Oryctolagus cuniculus: one gene and its partners. The protein of the gene in region 7 purifies or fractionates together with the protein of the main gene of each other region. This does not show direct contact. Links are inferred from orthologs where the notes say so. Each region holds a gene or a part of one and is shown on either strand. Other genes may lie near its edges. The genes, in order: TSSC4, EFTUD2, DDX23, ZNHIT2, SNRNP200, PRPF6 and AAR2.

What was found.
Region 1: the proteins of AAR2 (region 7) and TSSC4 purify together in Homo sapiens (affinity purification with mass spectrometry; 3 studies listed by BioGRID and IntAct, counting the BioPlex papers as one, with this or other methods). This does not show direct contact. The link is inferred for Oryctolagus cuniculus from reciprocal best matches to the Homo sapiens genes AAR2 and TSSC4.
Region 2: the proteins of AAR2 (region 7) and EFTUD2 purify together in Homo sapiens (affinity purification with mass spectrometry; 5 studies listed by BioGRID and IntAct, counting the BioPlex papers as one, with this or other methods). This does not show direct contact. The link is inferred for Oryctolagus cuniculus from reciprocal best matches to the Homo sapiens genes AAR2 and EFTUD2.
Region 3: the proteins of AAR2 (region 7) and DDX23 purify together in Homo sapiens (affinity purification with mass spectrometry; 3 studies listed by BioGRID and IntAct, counting the BioPlex papers as one, with this or other methods). This does not show direct contact. The link is inferred for Oryctolagus cuniculus from reciprocal best matches to the Homo sapiens genes AAR2 and DDX23.
Region 4: the proteins of AAR2 (region 7) and ZNHIT2 purify together in Homo sapiens (affinity purification with mass spectrometry; 3 studies listed by BioGRID and IntAct, counting the BioPlex papers as one, with this or other methods). This does not show direct contact. The link is inferred for Oryctolagus cuniculus from reciprocal best matches to the Homo sapiens genes AAR2 and ZNHIT2.
Region 5: the proteins of AAR2 (region 7) and SNRNP200 purify together in Homo sapiens (affinity purification with mass spectrometry; 5 studies listed by BioGRID and IntAct, counting the BioPlex papers as one, with this or other methods). This does not show direct contact. The link is inferred for Oryctolagus cuniculus from reciprocal best matches to the Homo sapiens genes AAR2 and SNRNP200.
Region 6: the proteins of AAR2 (region 7) and PRPF6 purify together in Homo sapiens (affinity purification with mass spectrometry; 3 studies listed by BioGRID and IntAct, with this or other methods). This does not show direct contact. The link is inferred for Oryctolagus cuniculus from reciprocal best matches to the Homo sapiens genes AAR2 and PRPF6.

Annotation. Positions count from the first base shown.
Region 1 is NC_091432.1:1,159,017-1,162,986, forward strand, and holds TSSC4 (U5 small nuclear ribonucleoprotein TSSC4), read right to left. Parts: upstream 2,543-3,970; 5' UTR 2,457-2,542; coding exon 2,411-2,456; exon of another isoform or gene 1,570-2,410; coding exon 1,490-1,569; exon of another isoform or gene 1,399-1,489; coding exon 568-1,398; 3' UTR 501-567; downstream 1-500. Other genes in the region: CD81 antigen, read right to left, coding at 3,690-3,752, 3,829-3,915. UniProt on the Homo sapiens protein: Protein associated with the U5 snRNP, during its maturation and its post-splicing recycling and which is required for spliceosomal tri-snRNP complex assembly in the nucleus.
Region 2 is NC_091448.1:18,150,324-18,154,412, forward strand, and holds the start of EFTUD2 (116 kDa U5 small nuclear ribonucleoprotein component), read right to left. Parts: upstream 2,801-4,089; 5' UTR 2,522-2,800; intron 1-2,521. UniProt on the Homo sapiens protein: Required for pre-mRNA splicing as component of the spliceosome, including pre-catalytic, catalytic and post-catalytic spliceosomal complexes. Component of the U5 snRNP and the U4/U6-U5 tri-snRNP complex, a building block of the spliceosome.
Region 3 is NC_091442.1:52,315,082-52,318,275, reverse strand, and holds the end of DDX23 (probable ATP-dependent RNA helicase DDX23), read left to right. Parts: intron 1-118; coding exon 119-270; intron 271-462; coding exon 463-571; intron 572-1,226; coding exon 1,227-1,401; intron 1,402-1,795; coding exon 1,796-2,019; 3' UTR 2,020-2,694; downstream 2,695-3,194. UniProt on the Homo sapiens protein: Involved in pre-mRNA splicing and its phosphorylated form (by SRPK2) is required for spliceosomal B complex formation.
Region 4 is NC_091432.1:6,442,772-6,445,768, reverse strand, and holds ZNHIT2 (zinc finger HIT domain-containing protein 2), read right to left. Parts: upstream 1,713-2,997; 5' UTR 1,679-1,712; coding exon 542-1,678; 3' UTR 501-541; downstream 1-500. Other genes in the region: delta(14)-sterol reductase TM7SF2, read left to right, coding at 1-94, 188-348. UniProt on the Homo sapiens protein: May act as a bridging factor mediating the interaction between the R2TP/Prefoldin-like (R2TP/PFDL) complex and U5 small nuclear ribonucleoprotein (U5 snRNP).
Region 5 is NC_091433.1:111,297,021-111,300,520, reverse strand, and holds part of SNRNP200 (U5 small nuclear ribonucleoprotein 200 kDa helicase), read right to left. Parts: coding exon 3,365-3,500; intron 3,185-3,364; coding exon 3,011-3,184; intron 1,236-3,010; coding exon 1,075-1,235; intron 799-1,074; coding exon 571-798; intron 247-570; coding exon 55-246; intron 1-54. UniProt on the Homo sapiens protein: Catalyzes the ATP-dependent unwinding of U4/U6 RNA duplices, an essential step in the assembly of a catalytically active spliceosome. Plays a role in pre-mRNA splicing as a core component of precatalytic, catalytic and postcatalytic spliceosomal complexes.
Region 6 is NC_091442.1:197,902-201,401, forward strand, and holds part of PRPF6 (pre-mRNA-processing factor 6), read right to left. Parts: intron 2,546-3,500; coding exon 2,427-2,545; intron 1-2,426. UniProt on the Homo sapiens protein: Involved in pre-mRNA splicing as component of the U4/U6-U5 tri-snRNP complex, one of the building blocks of the spliceosome.
Region 7 is NC_091442.1:22,049,644-22,053,606, forward strand, and holds the start of AAR2 (protein AAR2 homolog), read right to left. Parts: upstream 2,801-3,963; 5' UTR 2,662-2,800; intron 1,737-2,661; exon of another isoform or gene 836-1,736; intron 633-835; 5' UTR 578-632; coding exon 1-577. UniProt on the Homo sapiens protein: Component of the U5 snRNP complex that is required for spliceosome assembly and for pre-mRNA splicing.

The DNA of each region.
Region 1 (3,970 bases), on a different chromosome or scaffold from region 7:
AGACCTGGGGAACCCACCCTTTGTCCCCCATGGCCCATGCTGGGCTGGAGTCCTGGCACAAGACCCCAGATGCCGGCTCTGCACCCCGTCCTGACAGTCTGGGTGGGGCACAGCCAGAGGCGAGCGTGGGCACGGCTACAGGACCACTCAGGCCTGTCCGGCACCATGCTGGACTCCTGTGGCCTGACCCCAGCCCAGGGGGACCCCTCAGCCCCTCCAGGCCGGCACTGTGCGCAGCAGGTAAAGCCGCCTCCTGTATGTGTGGTTCCAGTCCCGGCTGCTCCACTCTGACCCAACTCCCTGCCGCTGCAGCTGGGAGAGCAGCAGACGGCCCCTGTGCCACTGCGGCTCTCTGGGGAGTGGACCAGTGCACGCAAGACCTCTCTATCTTTCAAAATTAAAAGCAAACAAAAACCCAGAGAAGCGGAACACTGGGGCCGTCACTCTGCAGGGTCCGAGCGGGGCTGGGGGCCCAGGGGGAGTGAGACGACAGACAGGACCCGAGGACACCCAACACCTTTATTGTCACCCATGGAGCCCCGGGCCCCCGGCCGCGGCCCGGCCCGCTCACCCCTCAGCCGCTGGGCCCTCGCAGCCGCTGCCCCTGTTCCGGAAGTGCTCCCGGCTCCGCTTCCTGGCGCCGTGGAAGCCGACGGCGTCCAGGCCGGGGGGCCCTGGCGAGGCCCCTCTGTGGGCAGCCGCGGGGGACGCGTCTTCCTCCTGCAGGCCGCCGGGGGTGCCGCCCCTCTCCTCGGCCTCTGGGCTCCCGGGCCCGGCCAGGTGGGGCAGCTCCACCGCCTCGGTCCCCGGGAGGCCCCTGCCCGGCTGCGCGCCCTGCCCCAGGCCCCTCTTCCTCTCGGGCCTGGGCTCGCGGGCTCGGGCCGGTCTGGTGAAGACCACCCTGCCCTCCCCGCAGCTGGAGGAGTCCTGGTTGAAGGCGGGCGCGCAGGCGGCGGGGGCGGCCGGGCCCCGCGCGCCCAGGAAGGCCAGCGCCGCCGCCCGGTTGCTCTGCTCGCTGGCCTCGGCCACGTCCTCGAGGCTGTACCTGGTCCAGCGCTCCGGGTGCGCCACGTAGTCGGGGACACGCGGGCCCCTGGGGGCGCCGGCCGCCCCCTCCAGGCCGTCAAAGACGCTGTGGCTGCGCCGGGAGAAGGCGGAGCTCGTGCCCCGGAGGCAGAACGGCTGGGCCGCAGGGGCGGGGGGCGCCGGGGGCGGCGAGGGGGGCTCGGAGTCCTCTGAGTCCGCGGGCAGGTCTACACACGGCGCGGCCGCCTCGGCACCGCCAGAGCTGAGGTCCGAGTCCGAGTCCGAGCCCGAGTCGCTGGGGAAGTCGGCGTCGTCGGGGGGCGCGGCGTCCCCCTCGGCCCCCGCCTGGGCCATGGCCCCGTCCCACGGCACCTGCGGGGAAGCAGCCCGCGGGGAGGGGGCAGCTCAGGGTCGCCGGCCCACGCGGCCGCAGCAGCGGGCCCCTCCCCGGCCCGGCTCTCACCTCCCCCGTCCGCCCACGGAGGTCCTCGGTGGCCCCGGCGTGGGCTCCTCGGTGGCCTCGGCTCCGCTGCTCAGACGGGGCTGGGTGAGGGGCGGGGGACAGAGCCCGCGTCAGAGCGCGGGGCCGGCCGCAAGCTGCCTGGGACGAGGCGGAGCCCAGGGCTGGGCCCCAGGGCCCGGGCCGCGGCCACCCCGGCGGGGTCGGGCTCGCGAGCGCGCTCAAGGGTCAGCTCGAGCGGCCTTGCTGGGCAGAGGCCGCCCCCGCGGCCCCGGACACGACCCCCACCCGCGCTCCCGAGGGGCTGGCTGCAGGACAGCCCGGGCGCACCCTCCACACGGCGCTCCCCGCCTCGGGCCGACCCAGGCGCGGCGCAGCACCTCCTCCCGCGGAGCAGCCGCAGGAGGAGCGCTGGGCCCAGCAGGGACCGCGGCGAGCGCGCCCTGGGCTGGGGAGGCCGGGATCCCGCGACCGGGCCGAGGGGCAGCGGCTCTAGCTGCCTCCGGCCGCCTCTGCCGCGGAGCAGAGCACACCTTCGCCGTGTCAGGGCGGCCGCGCAGAGGGCCCTCCCGGACTTACCGGCTCCTCGTGCCGGCCGCCTTCATTCGGGTTCCCCGCCGGCCGCGCTCAGCCTTTTGGGAAACCGAGTCCCCCGCTAGCCGCGCACTGTGGCCTCCGCGACCGAAGAACTACATCTCCCATAAGCCACCGGGCCTCAGCTCCCGAGCCCTGACGGGACGTGTGCCCCAGTGCGCATGCGCCCACGCCCTTCTCCTTACACCTCCAAGCCCTGCGCCAGGAGCGGGTTCCGGAAACGGAAAAGGCCTAGCGTTGACACGGAGGAAGGGGCGGAGCCAACCGCCACTCCCAGAATGCTCGACTAACGGCGAGGCGCAGGCCTCTCGGAGTTTTAGTGCCACCTACCGGGAGGTGCGGAGACAGCAGCCGACGTAGACAGGAAGTGCGTCATCGCGCACGGTGGAGCAGAAGCCCTTGCCCGCACTTCCGGCCTTCCGAAAGCGGAAGTCGCTGCCCCTTCCCGGGTCCATCCGTCAATGCCCGGGGCGGGCCTGGCAGCCACTGAGCTTGTGGGCTGCGCTGGACGTCGGGAGCCTCTGACGATGTTTCTCCGGTTCCCCGGCCCTCAGGGACAGGCGCGCGGAGCGCTGCCCAGCGGCCCAGGCAGCCGGGGCTGGGCGTGGCCATCCTGGGCAGGTCCGGCCCCGGGCTCTCCCAGACAGGCCTCTCGCTGGCCACCAGGCCCCAAGTGGGCAGCGCCTTTTGCCCCCGTTTCTGCTGGGGCTGCTCGGTGCCCGCCAGACCCCAGCTCCTGAGTCCCTCTCCTGCGGGGGCCTGCTGTCCTGGCACTCACGGGGAGACCGGCGTCTAAGGACCCCGGGGGGGCCAGCCGCGGACAGCAGGCGGGTCATGCACGGCCCAGGCACCTCTGGGACACCCACCCTGTCCTGGCAGCCCCGGGGCCCCAGGCCCTGCACGTCCAGAGGCCAGCCTGGGCCAGCACGGCCCGGGGGGAGTGGAGGGGACTCCTCGCTGCACCTAGTTCTCCCAGGCAACCCTGTCCCCCAGGGGCTGGGAGCAGCAGGAGCCCCCGCCCTCCGCAGGGCCAGCCTCAGTCCTCCCTGGCTGCTGTCCAGGCCGAGGCGGGGCCTTTGCTCTGGCTGCTCCGAGATGCTGCTGAGGCCCGGGGGGCCACCCACGTCTCAGCAGACCTGGGGCCTGCTGCCCGCAGGGAGCCCGGAGCCCGGCCGCCCCCTCCCGCAGCCCGGTGTGCCCCAGGGGCGGTCACCCGCGGAACGCTCCCTGGGTCCTGGTCCCGTCCGCTCCGCGCGGGCTCGGCACAGTCCAGACCCCTCTGTCCCCAGCGCCCCACCCACTGAGACCCCACCGGCCAGGACCGGCGGCCAGCGCGTTAGCATGCCCGATGTCTCCTCCTTTATTACAGACTGTGTCCAGCTGCGGGCGTTACAGTTGAAGGTGACGTTAGAAAGGACAGGTGCTCCCGGAACAGGCAGGAAAGCAACAGGATTAAGAAGGCCCGGCCCCCCTCGGCAGGTGCCCCTGGCACGCGGCGTCAGCCACAGGGGCTCCGGGGGAGACGCAGAGCCCGGAGAGCCGGCAGCTGCGTGCGGAGCGAGCGGGGTGGCTCTGTACAGGCGGCGGGGGCGGCGGGGGCAGCGCGGCCTCAGTACACGGAGCTGTTCCTGATGCCGCAGCACAGCACCATGCTCAGAATCATCTCGAAGATCTGGCGGGAGGGGGGCGGTCAGCGGGGGCCGGCGGGGCGGGGCGGCCCCCCCCCCCCCGCCCGCCTGCCCGCTCACCATGATCACGGCCACCACGATGGCCGCGATGCCGATGAGGTACAGCTTCCCCGAGAACAGCTCGTCAATCTTCTGGTGGCAGTCCTCCTGCGGGGAGGGCAACCTCAGCTCCCACCTGCCCTGGCGGCACCCCGGAGGGCCC
Region 2 (4,089 bases), on a different chromosome or scaffold from region 7:
AAGAATTCAAATGCTACCTCCTTCAAGCTTTCTTAGATCTCAATTTCTTTTTTTTTTCTTTTTTTGACAGGCAGAGTGGACAGTGAGAGAGAGAGACAGAGAGAAAGGTCTTCCTTTGCCGTTGGTTCACCCTCCAATGGCCGCCGCGGCCGGTGCGCTGAGGCCGGCGCACCGCGCTGATTCGATGGCAGGAGCCAGGAGCCAGGTGCTTTTCCTGGTCTCCCATGGGGTGCAGGGCCCAAGCACCTGGGCCATCCTCCACTGCACTCCCTGGCCACAGCAGAGAGCTGGCCTGGAAGAGGGGCAACCGGGAAAGAATCCGGTGCCCCGACCGGGACTAGAACCTGGTGTGCCGGTGCCGCTAGGCGGAGGATTAGCCTAGTGAGCCGCAGCGCTGACCCAGATCTCAATTTCTTATTCCCCCATGCTGCTGCAGTCTTTTGGATTTACATCACTGTTCAGCTTTTTCCTGGATGGCGGTTCACTGCACTAATTACCCTCAACAACTCCATAGTTCAGGAGCACAACACCAAGCCTCTGGAGCTGGAAGACCTAGATTCAAATCCCAAACTCATCACTAGCAACTATGTAACTTAAAAAAAAAAAAAAAGATTTATTTATTTATTTGAAAGAGTTACAGGGACAGAAAGAAAGACAGAGGGCTCTTCCAAGTGCAGATCCACTCCCCAGATGGCCACAATGGCCAGGGCTGGGCCAAGCTGAAGCCAGGAGCCAGGAGCTTCATCCAGTCTCCCATGTGGGTAGCAGCGTCCCAAAACATCCTCTCTCTGCTGCTTTCCCCAGGGCATTAGCAGGGAGCTGGATCGGAAGTGGAGCAGCCTCCGCGAGATGAAGTGGCGTCACAGACAGCTTTGCCTGCAAAGCCACAAAGCCAGCCCATGTACGTCTTACTTCACCTCTGCACATCCATTTCCTGAACTGGAAAATGGAGTGATGAAACCTCATGCATAAAATGATTGGGGATTAGATAAAAACCCTGCAACTCCATCCAGGTCCCCCACTGAGTGGCAGGGGCCCCTGTGCCAAAACCTGCTACCTCCCAGGATGCCTTAGCGGGACACAAGCAGAGAAACCGGGACTCGAACCGCTGCACCAACATGGGATGTGGCCTTCCCAGTGTCTCAACCCACTGTGCTATAATGCCTGTCATCTATCTCTGGTCATTCTTGACTAGAAGAACCTGTGCTCATTGTGCTCCCCTCCCAAAGCCCTAGAGCACCCTGTGTAAGCAGGAACTGGATAAATGCAAATGGAATGGAATATTTGATACTGATGTTTCTTGCATTGAGCTAATACCTCAACCTCCCTCAATGCCACTTGCTGAGTGCTGATTGCAAATAAAACACATAATTGGAGAACCCAAGAAGAGGTAGTTACGGGGCTGGCGCTGTGGCACAGTGGTAAAGCCGGCACTGCCCATATGGGCACCAGGTTGAGTCCCAGCTGCTCCACTTCTGATCCAGCTCTCTGCTATGGCCTGGGAAAGCAGCGGAAGATGGACCAAGACCTTGAGCTTCTGAACCCAAGTGGGAGACCCGAAGAAACTCCTGGCTCCTGGCTTCAGATTGGTGCAGCTCCAGCCATTGTGGCCACTTGGGGAGTGAACCAGTGGATGGAAGATCTCCCTCTCTCTCGCTCTTGCTCTCTGCCTCTGCTTCTCTCTGTGTGTAACTCTTTCAAATAAATAAATAAATCTTAAAAAAAAAAAAGTGGTAGTTACGTGTACATTATTAGAGAAAATCTCATATGCATAAAGGCTCTTTTTACTTCCAAAGAGCTATCAAACTGGGCTCATTCATTCTCCCGAGACCTCCAGCCAACAAATGCAGAGAGTTCCATAGAGAGCGGTTCGTGGAACAAGTCAAGCCCAGCCCCAAGGCCACTGCACCTGCCATTCTGTCTGAAATGCTCTTGCCTGAGGTATTCGTAACTTTGCCCTCTAGCTTATCAAAGTCTCTTTTCACTAAAAAGCCCCTCATTCACGCTCTCCGACCCTCACTTTCACCGTTTTCCTATCAAGACATGAATCTACTCGTTTGCATCCTGTTCGTTCTTCCCGCTACAACTTAAGCAAGGTCTCTCGTTCACTTAGGACAGCGCCTGGCACAAAACAGGCCCTCAGCAAGCATGTGCTGAACGCACGATCGGACGACTCCAGCAACGCACAGACAGCTGAGTTGCACCAGCTGGTTACGAACCTCACCGCAGCCCCTCGCTATTTTAACTTCTGAAAAAGAATCCCAAATGAAGACAAAGAGCCTGGCAGAGAAGAGGTGATGGCGGCACTGATGAGAGAGCGAGGAGACGCGGCAGTGAAAGCTCAACCCTGCCCAGGAACGGGACTTCAGGGATGGGGCTGGGGGCTCCTTCCGGCTCCAGGCCTCAGCTCACTCATCCGCAACGGGCAGACAGCACCTCATGCCTCTTCCAGATACGATGCTCTGTAACTTCCCGCCCTGCCCAGATAACCTTCCCACGCCACGGACCCCCGTTAGCTCACCTCCTCCCTGCTCAGCGTAGAACCCCAAGTCCGCCGACGGAGACCGCGCGGCCGCCTCGCGTCACTGCAGCGCCTGCGCCCGCAGCCAAGAAGGACCCCGCAGACGCCGAGGCCGCGTTTCTGCCACGGAGGACAGCCCTGTGCCTGAGAACCGGCACTGAGGAATGCCGACCGCAGACACAGGAGCCGACCGGGTGGAGTTGTGAATCCCATACCCAAGCGTGGGCTGCTCGAAAGAGAGTGAAGCCTGAGCATACATGACTACTGGGTCAGGCACCGCCAGGACACCTAAAGGGGCTTTCGGGCAGGTCACGTGGGCAGGCCGTTGGCGCAGTTGCTAGGCAACCGCGGATGCTGGGCGTAGTGGGCTCCGAGCCGCCGTTTGGTTCCAGTACACCAGGGAGTCCCCAAGGAAAGCGAGGGGACCGAGGCGGGAACTGCGGTGGTGAAGGTCCGGGTGGCTGGGTCGGGAGGACAGACGGGTTAGTTCTACTTATTGGCTGACTGCAGGGCTCAGGGGCCGGGACTCCTGAGTTCAGCTCCTGGCCAGCCCAGTCGGTTCTGGCGTTCAACTTCGCTAGGTTTGTCCGTGTGGGTAGCTAGTTGCGGACCGCCTGCTTCCCTGCCAGGACTGCTCGGTGTCCCCAGAGAAGTCTCACAAGTACGCGGGCACTTGAAAAGCTTGTGGGAAATGGAGTTAAAAGATAAGCTTATTTCGATGCAGATATTCCAAGTCCATGCATACGATAGAGGGTGCCTCCAAAAAGTGCATGAAAATGTGTATTATGAAAAAACTATGAGGCAGGGGTTGTGGCGCAGCGAGTCAGGCCGCCGCTGCAACGCCAGCATCTCAGGTGAGGGCAGGTCCAGTGGGCACTTCGGCTCAAGCTCGCTGCTAGTGCACCTGGGAAAAGCTGAAGTGCTTGGGCTCTGCACCCACGTGGGAGGCCTGGATGCAGTTCCAGGCTCCTGATTTCGGCCTGGCCCAGCCCTGGCTGTTGCTGCGATTTGGGAAGTCAAGGACTAGATGGAGGATCTCTCTCTCTGTCTCTCCCTCTCCTTCTCTCCCTCTCCCTCTCCTTCTCTCCCTCTCCCTCTCCCTCTCCCTCTCCCTCTCTCCCTCTCTCCCTCTCTCCCTCTCTCCCTCTCTCCCTCTCCTTCTCTCCCTCTCCTTCTCTCCCTTTCCCTCTCTCTCTGCATTTCAAATAAATAAAACATTATTTTAAGTTGCATGGATTTCAAAATGTTTTTGCACCAAAATAAATTCATTTTTAAACAATACTTATTATCTTTAAATATTTAGTTATTTTCAATTTATTTAAATTCAAAGAGACAGAGAAAAGAGGGAGTTCTTCCATCTGCTGGTTCACTCTCCAGCAGGTTAAAGCTGCTGCTTGGGACACCCACGTCCCACATCAGAGTGCCGGGTGGAGTTCGGACAGCTGGGAGGCAGCAGATGAGGTCCAGCTACTTGGATTCCTGGCTCCCAGCTGCAGCCTGGCCTAGACCTGGTGCTGTGGGCATTTGGGAAGTGAACCAACAGGCAGAAGATCTCTCCCTCCCTCCCT
Region 3 (3,194 bases), about 30 Mb from region 7:
ACTGCTGTACCACCTGCTGGCTTCCCTCGTTTTAGCTTGCCTCGCCTGGGTTAGGCTGCCTGCAGACATGGTCGGGTATGCCGGCTGGGGCCCAGAGCTGAGCCTCCTGTTTCCACAGACAGTCATGTTCACGGCCACCATGCCCCCAGCCGTGGAGCGTCTGGCCAGGAGCTATCTTCGGCGACCTGCTGTGGTGTACATTGGCTCTGCCGGCAAGCCCCACGAGCGGGTGGAACAGAAGGTCTTCCTCATGTCTGAGTCAGAGAAGAGGTACGGAGACAGCTGACCTGGGGGCAACCAGGTTGAGAGGGAACTTCCTGCAGGGCCGTGTCGAGGAGCTGCTCTCCAGGACGCCAAGGGCCTTGCTGATCCTCAGCTCCTGTTCTTGGGTCAGGGGCGGGCACTTCGCTGGCGTGGCTGCTGCATCACATCTCATCTTTCCTCTCGTGCCCCTTTCCCCAGGAAGAAGCTGTTGGCAATCCTGGAGCAAGGCTTTGACCCGCCCATCATCATTTTTGTCAACCAGAAGAAGGGTTGCGATGTGCTGGCCAAATCCCTGGAGAAGATGGGGGTATGTCTGGCAGGGGAGAGCAGAGGGCGGCCTGCAAAGACCACCAATGACACTAGAGGGGTCCTCAGGGCCTGGGCTTTCAGTCCCACTCAGGGCCAGAGGGACATGGAGGACCCTGTCCGTTCCAGCAGCAGCAGCCAACGCTGCCTGGGGTCTTCATCCATGAGAGATGGGCCCCGCATTCTGACAGAGTCTGGGCACGTGGAACAGAGCAAGCCAAAGCAGTGTCTGCAGATGTTTGGGAAGGGATGTGATGGTGTCAGCGGGGCAGCGTTGCTAACCATGTCCGCTATTGCTGGCGCTGGGGCTTGAAGGAAGGGTGCATCCTCGCCACCCTGCTCTTATCTCCCTGAACTTCTACCCTGATCTCCGTCTGATTCTCTCCCCAGTCCTTCTCAGCTGTCTGACTCCCTGTCTCACCCCAGATGGCTTTGTCCTTGTCCTTACCCTGTCTGTCCCCGCCGCCCCCCACTGGTGTCTGCCCCCACTTTCCTGAGCTCATCTGTTTCCTCCTCCCTCTCAGGAGCCCTTATTCTTTCCCTCTCTCCTGCCCTGCCACCCCCCGCCCCGCCCTCCCCATCTGTCTCCGTCCTTTCTTGGATGTCTTCTCATGCTCCCGTTGCTGGCTCTTCACCCCACTGTTGTCTCCCAACAGTACAATGCGTGTACATTGCATGGTGGAAAAGGCCAGGAACAGCGAGAGTTCGCTCTGTCCAACCTCAAGGCCGGTGCCAAGGATATTTTGGTGGCTACCGATGTGGCTGGTCGTGGTATCGACATCCAAGATGTATCTATGGTTGTCAACTACGATATGGCCAAAAATATTGAAGGTAAGTGGGGGAAATTAGGTAAGTGGGGGGAATTAGGACTCCTTGCCACTTCCCACGCAAAGTCACGGTGCCACCCTGGGGAGACCACTGCTGCCATCTCTCACGGCTCCAAGTCTGGAGTCACTTGTTCAGTGGGCAGAGCTCTGGCACTTTACCTTACCTGGACTTGTCCAGCCTCTGTGGTAGAGGTGTGGGGAGGGAGGAAGCTGGGCGGCTGTTGGTGTGGCCGGATGTGGTGCAGTGGTTGACCACAGCCAGCCGTGGGAACAGGGAGATGGGTACCCGTGGGAAAGCGCCACAGGTGCTTTTGGTCAGGCAGTGCAGGGCACACTCAGTGCTGGGGAGGGGGCGGCCTTAGAAGTGGAGACTGAGGGGCGCCCCTCCTGTTCCCCAGATTACATCCACCGCATCGGCCGCACTGGGCGAGCAGGCAAGAGTGGCGTGGCCATCACCTTCCTCACCAAAGAGGACTCCGCTGTGTTCTATGAGCTGAAGCAGGCCATCCTGGAAAGCCCAGTGTCTTCCTGTCCACCCGAGCTGGCCAACCACCCAGATGCCCAGCACAAGCCAGGCACCATCCTCACCAAGAAGCGCCGGGAAGAGACCATCTTTGCCTGACACAGCACTCTTCCCGTAGGCCTAAGGGCATGAGCCGAAGCTGCCGGGTGCCTCCTATCCCTCTCTCCAGACTCTTAACCCTGGGTCCTGGCAGCTTGGGTGACAGTCAGACCGCCTGGCCCAGACCTCCACTCTGGAGGCCTGAGCATGGTGTTGCAAGAGGGGAGGAAGTCACCACCGGTGTGGCCCTGCTCTGCCCCTCCGGGGGCCTTTGTGATTGTTCTGGGCTGTCCGCTCACGCCAGGTCATGGGGGCAGCAGTGGGCACTACCCATCCCTGCCCCTTGTCCTGGGTGAGAGCCTGGCTGCCTGGCTGGGCCCTCCTTTGGCACAGGTGGGACTGTGACTGGAAGCTGCAGCAGCGTCATGGCCCTAGATGACCCGGGGAGGGGGTTGGGGGGTTCTGGCACGGTGAGGACTGTGGAGCTCGGACTCTCATCTTGACAGCTGCTTCCCCACTTGGATTCTAGAGCAAGTTGAGAGCCTTTGGGACTGCATGTCCCCAGGCCCAGGGGTGCTGTGCACTCCAGGCATTCCTCCCCCAGGGAATTTTTAGTAGATGTGGGGACAGGGTGAGCTGGCTGTGTTCATCTTTAAGTCACTGAGTGAAGTTTCTGTTTTCTATTCTCTGAGAAGATGAGTTTGTATGTTCTGAGAATAAATATGGGAATATTAAGGTTGTGTCTAGTTTTAGCCGATTCTCCCTGCCACCACACAGGACAGGAGAACCGGGTCTTTGCCAGCAGTCATACGTCTACAGGTGTAGAAGCCGGGGCAAGCCGGTCTTGCCGCAGCCTCACACACATCTCAGAGCTTTTGCTTATTGGCTCTCCAGGGGCTGGGGCTACTGCTCACTGAAGAGACAGGTGCCAGAGGCATCACGGTGCTGAGCAGGGCCCAGTTGAGGGAGGTCTTGAGAGGGCTGTGGTCCCCTTCCTACCTCCCTGCCCCCCAACCATTAGTATGCTCTTCCTTAGTCCTCAGAAAGAGCTTGGCAAGTCCATGGAATTCAAGTTCCAGCTATGTCCAGGGCTTTTTTTTTGGCCTGAGGCAGGGACAGTGGAAAGCTGTGACTAAGCCTCTTCCCCACCTCGCAGAACCGGCATCTTGGAGTCCCTCCAGATACCCGGCCATGAGGTGTGGAGGGGGTGCTGGGGACTACAGTGCCTCCCCCAG
Region 4 (2,997 bases), on a different chromosome or scaffold from region 7:
CGGAGGCTGCTGGTGTCTGGGTGGTGGGGGATGGTCCGCCACCCCAACTACCTCGGGGACCTCCTCATGGCCCTGGCCTGGTCCCTGCCCTGCGGTGAGTGCCCCGGCGGAGGGGCGGCCCCCGCTGGCCCTGGGCCTCCCCCGCCCGGCCGGACAGCGTGGAGACCCTTGCGGCCCCTCCCCGCAGGGCTGTCGCACCTGCTGCCCTACTTCTACATCATCTACTTCACGGCGCTGCTGGTGCACCGGGAGGCCCGCGACGAGCGGCAGTGCCTGCAGAAGTACGGCCGCGCGTGGCTGGAGTACTGCCGGCGCGTGCCGCACCGCATCGTGCCCTACGTCTACTGAGCGCCCGCGCCCCGGCGGAGACCCCTCCTCCCCTGCATAAACGGCTCCAAGTCGCCGCCCGCTTCCGTTCCATTCTGGGGCAGGGCAAGGCTGGGACACGCCGTGGGCCCGAGAGCCCGGGGCTGGGCGGGACAACTGAGCTGTCACTCCGGGCAGGGCCAATCTCCGCTTTATTGAGGCCAAGCCCCCCAGGTCAGCCAGGGAGCTCTTCAATGAGAGCCCCTGGGGCAGGTGGGGCGGGGGGCACAGGGCCGCCCCACAGCCGCTCCAGCTCCCCGGCCAGGGCGGCCACCTCCTCCGCGGCCGCCGCGTGCGCGCCGTGCGCCCTGGCGCAGTCCACAGCCAGGGGCCCGAGGGCCGCCTCGTTCTCGTTGGCCCAGGCCAGCAGGTACTGGCACTTTTTCCGGGCGCGGTAGAGGCGATCTCGGTCTTCGCCAGCCGCGGTCTGTTTCCGGGCACGGCCGAGGGTCCGAGCCAGGTGCCCCAGCGCGGCCAGCGTGTAGCCTTTGGGGTCGGCGGGGCCCCGGCCCAGCAGGATGCGGCCGGCCTCTCGCATGGCGCCCCGCGTCCCCAGGGGCCCGGGCGGGTGCTCGCCGGCTTCCAGGACGTGGGCTGCGGCCTGCAGGGCCTCCTCGCTAGAGGCGAAGACTCGCTGGGCGCCCAGCGCTCCGGAAACGCCGAGCAGCGTGGCGCAGAAGTCGGGGAGCAGCGCGTCGTCGCCGCCGCCGTGGTACAGGGCCAGGGCGTGCGCGTAGGCGAACAGCACGTTGGGCAGCTGGAAGCGCACGAGCGGCGAGGCCGGGCTGCGGCTCAGGCTGGCCAGCGCGGGGATGCGGGCGGGCACGGCGGGCGGGCGGGCGGGCTCCGGCTCCAGATCCGGCTCGGGCTCCGCGGCGTCCCCCACCGCCTCCACGAGCCGGGGTCCGTCCCCGCGCCCCCACCACCACGGCCGCCAGGGAGGCAGCAGCCGCCCGGCCTCGCCGCGGCTCAGCAGCCGCTCGAAGGCCGCTTTCTCGGCAGGTGCCAGCCGCTCCCAGAGTCCCGAAAGTCCGCCGGGTGCGGGGCCCGGGCTGAGGCCTGCTACCTCGGGCTCGTCCTCGGTCTCGCGTTGCTCACGCAGCCGGCGCAGGGCGCTGGCCAGGCGGCTGGGCGAGGCGCTGCGGCCGCGAAGCTCCCCCAGCACCTGGTCGCGGTAGAAGTCCTCGGCGCAGGGCCCGTGCGCCCGATAGCAGCGCAGCGAGCAGTAGGGCGCATTGCAGCGCGGGCAGGTGTAGCGCGCGGCCCGCGTCTCCCCAACCGGGCAGAAGCCGCACGGCCCGGCCGGCTCCATGGCAACTGGCAGCGCATGCGCGCCGCGGACGTCACGCGCGCCGCGGGCCAACTTCCGGCGCCTCCTCGGTTACTTCCGCTTCGTCGCGGAGCCTTCCGAGCGTTAGTCCATGCCAGGCTGACAAGGGCTCTCGGCAACTTCCGCCCACACTCGGAAGCCCCGCCCCCTTTGCAGCGCTAGGGCGCCACGAGTGTCCCGTCTGTGCCAGCCCGCCCCCTGGTGGTCGCACCGCAAAACTGAGCAGTGCCGGCTGAAATCATTTTTTATTTTTTTTTATTTTTTTTATTTTTTTATTTTATTTTTTTTTTTATTTTTTGACAGGCAGAGTGGACAGTGAGAGAGAGAGAGAGAGAGAGAGAAAGGTCTTCCTTTTGCCGTTGGATCACCCTCCAATGGCCGCCGCTGCAGCTGGCGCACCGCGCTGATCCGATGGCAGGAGCCAGGATCCAGGTGCTTTTCCTGGTCTCCCATGGGGTGCAGGGCCCAAGCACCTGGGCTATCCTCCACTGCACTCCCTGGCCATAGCAGAGAGCTGGCCTGGAAGAGGGGCAACCGGGACAGAATCCGGCGCCCCAACCGGGGCTAGAACCCGGTGTGCCGGCGCCGCAAGGTGGAGGATTAGCCTATTGAGCCACGGCGCCGGCTTGAAATCATTTTTTTAAAAGATTTATTTATTTGAAAGAGTTACAAAGAGAGAGGAGAGGCAGAGAGAGAGGTCTTCCAGCCGCTGGTTCACTCCCTAATGGGCCACATCAGCCGGAGCTGCGCCGATCCAAAGCCAGGAGTCAGGAGCTTCTTCCAGGTCTCCCACGGGTACAGGGGCCCAAGCATTTGGGCCATCTTCGGCTGCTTTCTCAGGCCATAGCAGAGAGCTGGATCGGAAGTGGAGCAGCCGGGACTCGAACCAGCGCCCACGGGGGATGCCAGGACTGCAGGCGGCAGCTTTACCCACTATGCCATGGCGCCGGCCCCTGAATTCATCACTAAGCAGGGAACTGGGCAGCCTTGGGAGAGGAGATGGGTTCCTGCCCTGCAGGAGCAGCCAGGCTGCCAGGGGACACTGGGAAGCACGGGGCTGAGCGGAAGAAAGGGCGAGACGGCAGCAGCCCGCCTAGCCCAGTGCACGCTGGGGCATTTCTAACGTCTGCACCCACGCTCCCCCCCTCCCGCCCCTTGCCTCTACTTCGCAGTAAATGTCTTCCACGTATTATCATGGCGGACTCCACACTGGGAGCCAAGGACACAGGCAGGTGGAGCTTGGGCGTGGTGGCGTTGCTGGGCCATCATCAGTGCTGGGGCGGTGACTGCACAGTGCCAAG
Region 5 (3,500 bases), on a different chromosome or scaffold from region 7:
CCTGGGTAAGCTGGGGTGTCTGAGGCCACGGAGGATGGGGACAGTGGGTCCTACCTGGATGTGCAGCTCCAACGGCACAGGGCGCACGTTAGGGTGGAAGTTGAAGGTGGAGGTGGCACTGCAGCCCAGCCAGTGGGCCACATCCTTAGCATTGGAGAGCGAGGAGCTAAGTGCCACAATGCGAATAGGCCGCTCGATCTGGGAGGAGATGTAGCGCATACGGGAGCAGATAACTTCTAAGACAGGCTGGAAAAGAGGGAGGAGTGTCACTCCAGACCCAGGTTCCCCAAACTCTGCCCCTAGTGCCCCTCAGTACATCACCCAACAGCCTCAAAGTGACCTCCTAAGTCTTCCTCCTAACTAGGGGCTCTCCCGCCTCCCGCCTTCTCCACAGGAGCTGACATTCACTACGCCATGTTGGTTTCCGAGAGCTCTACAAAGAAATCTCACATCAGCCGTTTGGAATGAGGCAGCAGGCAGAATCCTGAGTCTCCAGCCTCGGATACAAACACAGGGCCCAGTGCATCCCGTCAGTCCCAGCCCCGCCCGTAGCGCGAGGCCCGGGCCTACCCCATTCTCTCCCCCGATCAGGTGGACCTCGTCCACCACGAAGAGGTGGATGTTCTGGACGTTCTTGCGCTGCTTCCACCGCCGGGAGAGGATGTCCCATTTCTCAGGGGTGCTGATGATGATGTTGCCTTTGCCCAGCAGCTTCAGGTCCGTGCTGGTCTCCCCTGTCAGCAGCACCACTTTCTTGTTGAGCCTGTCCTGAAACTTCTCATACCAGTCCATGTACACCTGGAGAGCAGGATGCAGGAGGCCAGAAGAACATTAGGTCACACCAGGCGTCTTCCAACGTATTACAAAGTACGCCTGAAGCTAAGCAGAGAGACTTGCTCTGCAGCGCTCATGCAGCTCTCCTACCCCAGACCAGCCTTGAAGTGCGGGGCAGGCTCTCTTTAGAATGTAAACTCTGGAAATCACCCTAATTATATGAGGGCTAGAAACCATGGTGTGGAACAGGACAACATGGCTTCTGGGGAAGTGCACCCGCCAGGGCACCCCACCACACACCTGTTCTGCCAGGGCCTCCATGGGGGTAATGTAGACGCAGCGCCCCTCCGAGTTCTGCAGCAGCATCCGCAGGATGGCAAACTCCGCACAGATGGTCTTCCCACTGCCCGTGGGGGCCCCCACAAACACGTTGTCGTCACTGTTGTACACAGTGTTAAACACTGGAGATCGACAGAGAAGTAGTGTGAGTAGCGGGAGAGGAGACAGACTGGGACGAGGTCAGTCAGCTGTGGGGTGCAAAGGGCTGATGGCGCAGGCGCCTCCAAGGCGGGCTCAGCCTGCTGTGTCCTCTGAAACCTTCAAGGCCCCCGGAGATTTGTGGGACAACCAAAGCAAAAAGAAGCCAAGCATCTTTCTTTGCTTCTCAGGGACTAGGATGCAGAATAAAGGGAATGGGCTAGCTTCTTCTGTGCCTTCAATACTTTCCTGCATTTCCTGCAAATAGTCTAACATGGAAGGGAAGACTATGCCCTGGCATCAAGACTAAATTAAGGGGCTGGCACTGTGGCATAGCAGGTAAAGCCATTGCCTGCAGTGCTGACATCCCATGTGGGCGCTGGTTTGAGTCCCCGCTGCTCCACTTCCCATTCAGCTCTCTCCTATGCCCTGGGAAAGCAGTGGAAGATGGCCCAAGTCCCTGGGCCCCTGTACCCACGTGGGAGACCTGGAGGAAGTTCCTGGATCCTGGCTTTGGAGCGACCCAGCTCCAACCATTGCAGGCATTTGGGGAGTGAACCACTGGATGGAAGACCTCTCTCTCTCTCTGCTTCTGCCTCTCTGTAACTCTGTCTTTCAAATAAACAAAAAAATCTTTAAAAAAAGAAAGAAAAAATATGGGACTGGGCACTGTGGCATAGTAGGTGAAGTTGCCGCCTGAAGTGCTAGCATCCCATGTGGGTGCCAGTTCAAGTCCTGGTTGTTCCACCTCTGATCCAACTCTCTGCTATGGCCTGGGACAGCAGTGGAAGATGGCCCAAGTCCTTGGCCCCTGCACCCACATAGGAGATCCAGAAGCTCCTGGCTCCTGACTTCGGATTGGCCCAGCTTCAGCCATTGTGGCTTTCTGGGGAGTGAACCGGCAGATGGAACACCTCTTTCTCTCTCTCTGCCTCTCTATGACTCTGCCTTTCAAAGTTGCATTATGTATTAGCTGGTTTATTCGGGGTACCTGTTCATGCATATTTCCTCATTTATAAAATGGGACCCCAATGGCAGAAGCTCAGATGGTAAACCCCTCAAAGGACAAGTAGAAGGACTAACAGAGAAAACAATGGTGCTGTACTCAGCCAAGTACTCAGAGCACAGTGCATGCTGTGTGAACGCACTGTTACTCATAATGATAGAGGAAGCCTCCATCAACGCCCCATGCCCTAGTGCAGTGCTTGAACATCAGGGGCAGGATCTAACACCCTGAGCCTAAGAAATGACAGTACACATGGAAAGGCCTTGCTCCTCTCACCTCAGTCTCCATGCAGAGTGGCAATGCAAATCCAACAGGGGCCAAGGAGTTTTCAGGAAACAGAGGGTCCTAGTGGTCCCTGACAGGCTGCTGGGTTGCCAAGTCTACCAAGAACTTGAACACCTGGTTCCCTACCTGCTGCAGAACACACTGCTTCCAGGTACTCTTCAAATGCCTCTGAGGGGAGTGGGGGCTTAGCCTACAGGATAATATGCCCACATCCCACACCGGAGTGCCTGGGATCAACTCCAAGCTGCTGACTCCAGTACCTGGATTCCTGTACCCTACAGGGGAGGCCTGTATTGTGCTCTCAGCTCCTGCCTTCAACCCTGGCCTAGCCCCACCTGTTGGAAGCATCTGGGTGTGAACCAGTAGATGCTAACTGTTTCTCTATCACTCAAGTAATTTTTTTAATTAAAAAAAAAAAAGAAAAAAGGCCTCCAAGGGGACCCACTATCTGGGAATGAGAACACTCACCTTGGGTCTGGATGGGATTGAAGAAGGGAAATTTATCCTGGTAAAGGCTCTCAAAGGCACTGTTTCTGAGAGCAGACACGGGCAAGGGCTGCAGGTCCAACAGCTCGGTGGGAGGAGGGTACTTCTCTGGCAGGATCAGGTGCCTGAAGGACACAGGCAGCTGCGTCTCACAAGCTGCCAGAAAGAAACAGCAAGGAGAGTAAGCATTCTGTCTTCCCCCAACAGCCCTCCAGCACCCCTGTGAACGCAGAAACCCTTGACAGCACAAACATCACTCTCAAAAAAGGGCAAGCCTGGCACAAAGTCCAAGACCTCCTCTTGTCCTCAGAGGGCCTGTTCCTAGGGGACACTCACAGAGCCAGCGGTCAGACACCACCCGGATGAAGTACTGAGGGGGCAGCGGTTCAAAGACAGGCACGAAGAACGTAATGAGATGCTCGTCCTGGGCATACTTGGCCTTGAGTAGAAAATACTCATGATGCAGGATCAC
Region 6 (3,500 bases), about 22 Mb from region 7:
AAGATCTCTCTCACCCAGTCCCTCCCCTGTAACTCTGCCTTTCAAATACATAAACCTTTTTTTTTTTTTTTTAATCAGCGTCACTGTCACAAGAAAGTGAAAGGCAGAAGGGGGAATTCGCCATGATGCGTGTGCACAGTGGACGTGAGGTGCGACCTGGATGTGCTCTGCCCTGAGCGCTGGCTGTCGGGTGACGGGGCTGGGCTTAGTGCTGTGAAGTGTCGCAAAGCCACTGTGCCCATGGAAGACGGCAAATGAGCCTGTGGACCTGCAGGGGGTGGTGGTGTGGTCAGGGAGCTCGGGCCAGTGATGGGGCAGTGATACCAGGCGCTAGGCCAGGCCCCACAAGCACTGTGTCCTCGCACCCTGCAGCACATCCGGTGCCCTCTACAGGGCCCTCGACCCAGCCAGAAACACAGCCCCAACCACAGCGAAGCAACGTGCAAACTGTGAGGTAGCACGGGGACTGCGGCGTGTACTGCTGTTCCTTCTTCCCGCTGTTCTGTCATGGAAGCCTCCAGGATAAAAGGGTTTTAAAAGCCACCACTTTGGGCCGGCACCACGGCTCACTAGGCTAATCCTCCGCCTAGCGGCACCGGCACACCGGGCTCTAGTCCCGGTCAGGGTGCCAGATTCTGTCCCGGTTGCCCCTCTTCCAGGCCAGCTCTCTGCTGTGGCCAGGGAGTGCAGTGGAGGATGGCCCAAGCGCTTGGGCCCTGCACCCCATGGGAGACCAGGAGAAGTACCTGGCTCCTGCCATCAGATCAGCGTGGTGCGCCAGCCGCAGCGCGCTGGCCGCGGCGGCCATTGGAGGGTGAACCAACGGCAAAGGAAGACCTTTCTCTCTGTCTCTCTCACTGTCCACTCTGTCAAAAAAAAAAAAAAAAAAAAAAAAAAAAAGCCACCACTTTTTACTATGACTTTCTAGATGTGTCCATGTCACTGTGTTTAAAACGAATTAATGTCAAAGTACTGGAATCAAATCAATGAATGCAAAACCATTTACACCTAATTACTATTCACACGCCCTGATTTAAAAACAAGTTTTCAAAAACTCCACAAAATTCAACTTCATTCTCCTAAAGTTATTTTGAAAAAAATTAGAAGTTTTATATACATATACATATATATACATATATATGTATGTTAGGGGAAGTTACAAAATTACCAGTTATAAGCCCCCCACCCCATGTCACAGCACCAGTTCAAGTCCCCTGCTAGAGACGGAGGGCAGTGGGTGACGGCTCACGTACTTGGGCCCCTGTACCCACATAGAAGACCTGCGTGGAGCGCCTGGCTCCCAGCTTTGCATCAGCCCAGCTCCGGCTGTTGCAGCCATCTGGGGAGTGAACCAGCAGATGGAAGACCTCTTTCTAGTCTCTCTGCCTTTCAAATAAAATAAATCTTTTTTTAAAAATTGTACGTATCAACAGCAATACAAAAAAGAAAATGAACCAAGAGATTAACTGTTACTTTTTCTTCTTTAATTTTTAGTTTTTAACAGATTCAATGTGATTTGCAAATATAATTCTTTTTCTTAAGAAATGTTTTTTTTAAAGACTTATTTATTTGAAAGAGTTACAGAAAGTGAGATAGAGCAAGATTTTCCATCCAGTGGTTCATTCCCCAAAGGGCCACAACAACCGGCGCTGAGCCAGGCTGAGGCAGGAGCTTCTTCCGGGTCTCCCACACGGGTGCAGGGGCCTAAGGACTTGGGCCATTTTCCACTGCTTTCCCAGGGACATCAGCAGGGAGCTGGATCAGAAGTGGAGGGTGCCCAGGCCCCTGGCAGATACAAGTCTAGGAACACACTGATCGTCCCTCCCTCCCCCTCCCTCCCCGCCCTCCCTCCCTCCACTGTTACTTCTCTGAGCTTGTGAAGAAACGTCACACTCTTTCCTATTCTCAACCTTGGTTTCCTATCATGCTATGACGTAAATGTGTTTTCTTTATAATAAAAAAGTCAGCAGCTTGCAAAGCAGCAGAGTTTACTGTGCTTCCTCCCGGGACGTGCCGGCCAGCAGCCCCGGCTGGCGGAGCAGGGACAGCTCGAGCACCTGGCAGAGGGCCCCTGGTGTGCAGCAGGACGCCGAGGACACGTGCTCGCGGGCCGGCCTGGCCTGAGCTCCCTAACCCACTCTACCACCAGCCACTTCCAAGTTCAACTTCACACAAGTTAGTCCCCATCACTGCATCCACTTGAAAGGGGGCAATGCTGACGCACAAAGCAAGCCTCCAAGTCCTGCTGACCCCTGCACAGCCAGCAGTGCGCTCTCCCCCGTGGCCCAACACATCCACGTGTAGTGGCCACGCACCACAGAGCTCCGGGAGGAGCAGCTGCCACGGTTCCTGCAGCTTTTCTACAAGCCTGAGCCAGTAGAGGAAGTGTGTGTGTGTGTGTGTCGGCGTGAGCGTCGGCCCGGTACCTTCTCTCCTTCCTCCTCTCGTCCATCCTCTTGTCCAGCGCTGCGTAGATGGCGTCCGCCTCCTCATCGTCCTTCTCGTAGGGCCCGCTGGAGAAGAGGCTGCCGGCATAGCCGTTGAACTGAGGACCAAACAGCACACTCAGAGGGGCCACACCCCCACAGGACCCCTCTCACAGAGCTCCTGCACACACCCAACCGGAGGGTGCCAGGGGCCTGAGACAGAGCAGCCACCCGGGTTGGAAGAGCCTGGAAGGGTAAAGAGCGAGGGTCCCAGACCAGGCCCTCCTTGATGGGAGCACTGGTGAAACCCCAGCCAGATCAGCAGTCACGAGTGACGCCCAGCAGGGGCAGCCACCTGCAGAGCCGGCACACCTGGCAGTGACCCTCAGCGCCGCGGCCCTGGAAGCAGCGCTGACGCTCACGTCTCTGCGCCGTCACCTGGACTGAGTCCCGGCTCCCACAGTGGACAGAGTGAACAAACGGAACCACCAGCCTGCTCTCAATCCAATCAATCACATGGACAATAACAACGTGTCACCGTTAATTTCCAGGTTTTGGTAAGTGTCGCAAGGTCAGAAAGATGAGCGCTGGGGTGTACTCGGCTAAGCCTCCGCCTGTGGCACCAGCACCCCATGTGGACGCCGGTTTGTGTCCTGGCTGCCCCACTTCCGATCCAGCTCCCTGCTAAGGCCTTGCAAAGCAGAAGATGGCCCAAGTCCTTGGGCCCCTGCCCCTGCGTGGGAGACCTGGAAGAAGCTCCTGGCTTCAGATTGGCCCAGCTCCAGCCGCTGTGGCCATTTGGGGCATGAACCAGGATAGAAGAGCTCTCTCTGTGTTTCTCCCTTTTTTTGTAACTCTGCCTCTCAAATACGTAAATAAAATCTAAGGAAAAAAAAAAAAAAGATGGGGAAAGCTTCGTGAAGAGTATACAGGAACATAGGAATCTTTTTTCTTGAACTGTTTTTGGTATTATTTTTCCAACTTCATGCAAGCTTATTTATTTCAAAATTAAAATTCATTGCTTAACTTTTTATTTTATTAAAGCAGTAAAAGGCCCAACCCCCACACCCAGCG
Region 7 (3,963 bases):
CCAGGCCCTCCTGGTAGCTTTTACACTCTGTGCCACACTGGGGCAGATTCTGGCCCACCCGGTCCTTGGTGTGCTTCATGGCGAGCACAGGCAGCACGTCTGAGAAGGCACAGATCTGCCGGCTCTCAGGCTGCAGCCTCTCCACGGTGGCCTCACTGATGAAGGAGGTGAGTGAGATCCACTTCTTCAGTGTGGCATAGGGGTAAGGTCCCAGGAACTGGTCCAGCTCTTGGAGATTGGCCCTCATGGCTTCCACTTCGGCCTCTGGGGCTGGGCACAGGTCCACCTCTTCCCGGACTGTGTTCCAGCGCAGCACAGTCAGCCCCCGCTGCTGCAGGCTGAGGAAGAAGCCCATACGAGGGCCCACCTCCCTGGGATTGGCCTTGTCCACAGCGCTGTAGTGTAGGAAGTGGATGCCCGGTGGGATCATCTTCACGCCCCGGAACTTGGGCCCCACCTCCCAGGAGTTGTAGTCAATGCCAAACTCTGTCCCCTTGGGCATGTTCAGGATGACCACAGTGGCCCCTTCAAAGAAGAGGCACTTGGCTAACTCGGGATCCATCTGCATGGCAGCCATTGGGCCAGCGGCGGGTGACCGAAAGGAACCCCTTCCCTCTTGTGCTCCGGAACAGCTGAAAGAGAAGGACATTAGAGCGAATCAGGAGTTGCAAGGAGGATGCTGGGCATTCCGCACGCGCCAGGCACCGGATTAGACGCCTGACCCGATTATCTCCCGAATCCTCACGACACCCTGCATCTGTCTCACAGATAAGGAACATAACAAGGAGACAGAAGGGTATTTTTGCATTTTGATTTAACAAACAAGAGCACTCACTTGACAGCTAGCGAGACACCAGCTAACGAAAAGTGGAATGTTCCAGGGCACTTAAGGACCCCAGTCAGCAACCATGTACCCCCTGCAGGCCAGCGTCCTTTCTGCTGTCCACTTGGATCTACTCCCCATCTCTCTTACAACAGAGGATGAGGGTAGAAAAAGCCTGGATGGTTCATCCTCAAATACTCCTGAATCATCTTAAACTATAATCCTGCCTCAAACCTGTCGCCGGAGTCCCAGAGGGTTTGAGAAGGATTAAGTCAAGGACACACGGAGTTCCCGTCAGCACCTAAAATTCACAAAAGGCTGACGGAGTGGAAGCTTTTCAACCCCAGATCCCTTCTTTCACTCATTAAAAACCCGAACTCCAAGGAGTGAGACAACCTCCTGAAGGGCCCGCATTCCTCCAGGACGGATCGGGAGGCAGGGCTGACCTAGGACGGTACAGGGAAGAGAAAGCGCTAGAACACCTACACCTCCTTCACCTGCCTCTGTCCTGCCGTGGGGACGGGCAGACGCTGCTAAACCCCCGCAGGCACAAGCGGCCTCTGCCTCGACCAATGGCTGCAGTGGAACTGATTCAAACCCATCAATTACCTAGTCTCCCAGCCCTAGGAGACCCACCTACTCAACCCAACGCCTACTCCCTGAGCGCCTGCACTGGGCCCCAGAAGAAACACCCAGCAAGTAGCAGTTAATGCCCTCCCGCTGCTTCCAGTGTCGCCAGACAACCCAGTAAGACATCACAAGTCCCCAGAAAACTCGGCCTCCGGTTTCCCTCTGTCCACACTTTCAATTTTAAACACTCAAAGAGCGCAGAAAGGAAGCCCAGCCCCTTTCCAAGAACACTAAGAGCTATTTTATCACTACTAGAAAGGACTCTGCAAATCCGCCTTTTTTTTTTTTCAAAGTTCAAAATGGGTTAAGAAATTAACTGAGAAGGTCTCAACCGGCACTCCTTTTCTTAAGTGAAAAGAACAGAACTGATAGGATGTCCGACTGCTACGTCCTGAGTAGTGAGGACAAGCACTGTTTTCTAAAGCTTTAGGTGCTGGGTGGACACTTATTTGGTGGTGACACGGAATCTATTTGTTACAGCAGGGTCACAGTCAAGAAGCTTGACAGCCGCTGTTCCGAATAATTCGTACGTTCGCCTTCCCTACCCCTAGCCCGAATGCGCAGGACCAGTGCGCCTCAGCCGGCTTCCCTGCCCCCGCGCGGCCTCCTGGAGCCCCAGCAGCGGCTGGCACACGGCCTGGCCCAGAGCTGGTGCCGGGCGAAGGAACTTTGCACCCCAACAACCCGTCTCAGAGCCGGGTCTCTGAGCAGACCGTCACGGCCACCGCCGCCGCCACACTTAACACCCTCCGCGGGGCTTCCCGGCCGGCTCCGGGGAGCCCCCAATCCTGGCCCTGACCCACAAGGCCCGCGCCGTCGGGGCCCCTGCGCGCGCTCTGCTCCGGCCACCCGGGCCTCTCGGACCCTCAACGCGAGGCAGAAGCCTCCCTCGGCTCAGGTTCGCCTCCCCAGGGGAGCTTCCTCGCCCGCACGACGCTCGCGGCTGTCTGCACCCCGGCGTTCGCTAGACGCTCAGCCTACTACAGCCGATTCACTGTGCAGCCCGAATCAGCGGCTGGGTTCGGGGAAGCCACGCAGCGGGCGCCTGGCGCCCCGGCGGCGGCGTCTCAGGAGGGCCTCGCGAGGCCCACACCGGCGAGGGGGAACCAGCGCAGGACGTGCCGCGGTTCCGAGCCGAGAAGACAGGCGCGCTGGCCACAGGCACAAAATCACAGGAGGAAAAAAAGAGGACAGAAGGCCGCACTCACCGCCCGCAACCTCGGGTACCGCGGAAACGCACCGGAAGTTCTCCCGCTGGGGCGCCGGTTGGGCGCGACCGAGAAAGCGGCCCCCTGGAGTCCTCGGTCGCGGGAAGAACGGCCCGGGCCTACAGGTTCCGTGCGGTCGAAAGTTGTCTTCTGTGGCTCGTACTTTCTCCTTTTTTAGCTCTTGCATCTTGGAAAACAATTTTCCTGAAGCTGTACATTTTCTATCCCCTTCCCAGGACAAATCCACGAACCTAGTTAGTCCTTTGCCTAGTCCTTTGCTTTGGTAACCAGGACTGTAGGATTTAGCTGAAAAAGGGAGGCGGGGCGCGGGAACAGCCATCAGAGAACCTGAACTTTCTGGAGCTTGTTTTTAGAGGATGTTCCAGGAGAGCTTGTCTTGGGACACAGCACTCGGAGGGGACCAGACCACCACAGACAAGGCGCAGTTCAAGCTGCGAGAAGCCCGTCTGGGGGGTGGGTGGTGGGTGTTGTGGCATGGTGGTTAAGAAGCTGTCTGGGACAACCATGTACCAAACCAGAGTGCCTGTGTCGAATTCCAGCCCTTGACGTCTGACAGCTTCCTGCTGATGCTCCTCCTTGGAGGCAGCAGGTGAGGGCTCAAGTGCTTGGGTCCCTGCCACCTCACAGGGAGACCTGGATGGAGTTCCTGGCTCCTGGCTTTGGCCTGACCCAGCTCTGGCTGCCGCGGGCATTTGGGAAGTGAACCAGCGGGTGCGAGCTCTGTCTGTCTCTGTGTGCATGTGTGTGTCTTTCTCTTGGTATCTCTCAATGAAAAATAAATTCAGGAACAGGCTTTTGGCGCCGTGGTTAAGACACCACTTGGGAGGGGCCGGCGCCATGGCACAGTGGGTTAGTCCTCCACCTGCGGCACCGGCATCCCAGACAGACACCGGTTCTAGTCCCGGCTGCCCCTCTTCCAGTCCAGCTCTCTGCTGTGGCCCGGGAAAGCAGTAGAAGATGGCCCAAGTCCTTGGGCCCCTGCACCCATGTGGGAGACCAGGAAGAAGCTCCTGGCTTCTGGCTTTAGTCGGCCCAGCTCTAGCCATTGTGGCCATCTTGGGAGTGAACCAGTGGATGGAAGACCTCTCTCTCTCTCTCTCTCTCTCTGCCTCTGCCTTTCTATAACTCTTTCAAATAAATAAATCTTTAAAAAAAGATAAAGTGAAAATAAATACAACTTTTAAAAAAGAAACCAGTTTTAATCAGAGCTTCATGGTCAAGCTGCACTTTTGTCATCATAATACTAAATTCTGCATCTGGGGAGGAGTTGGATCATGTATG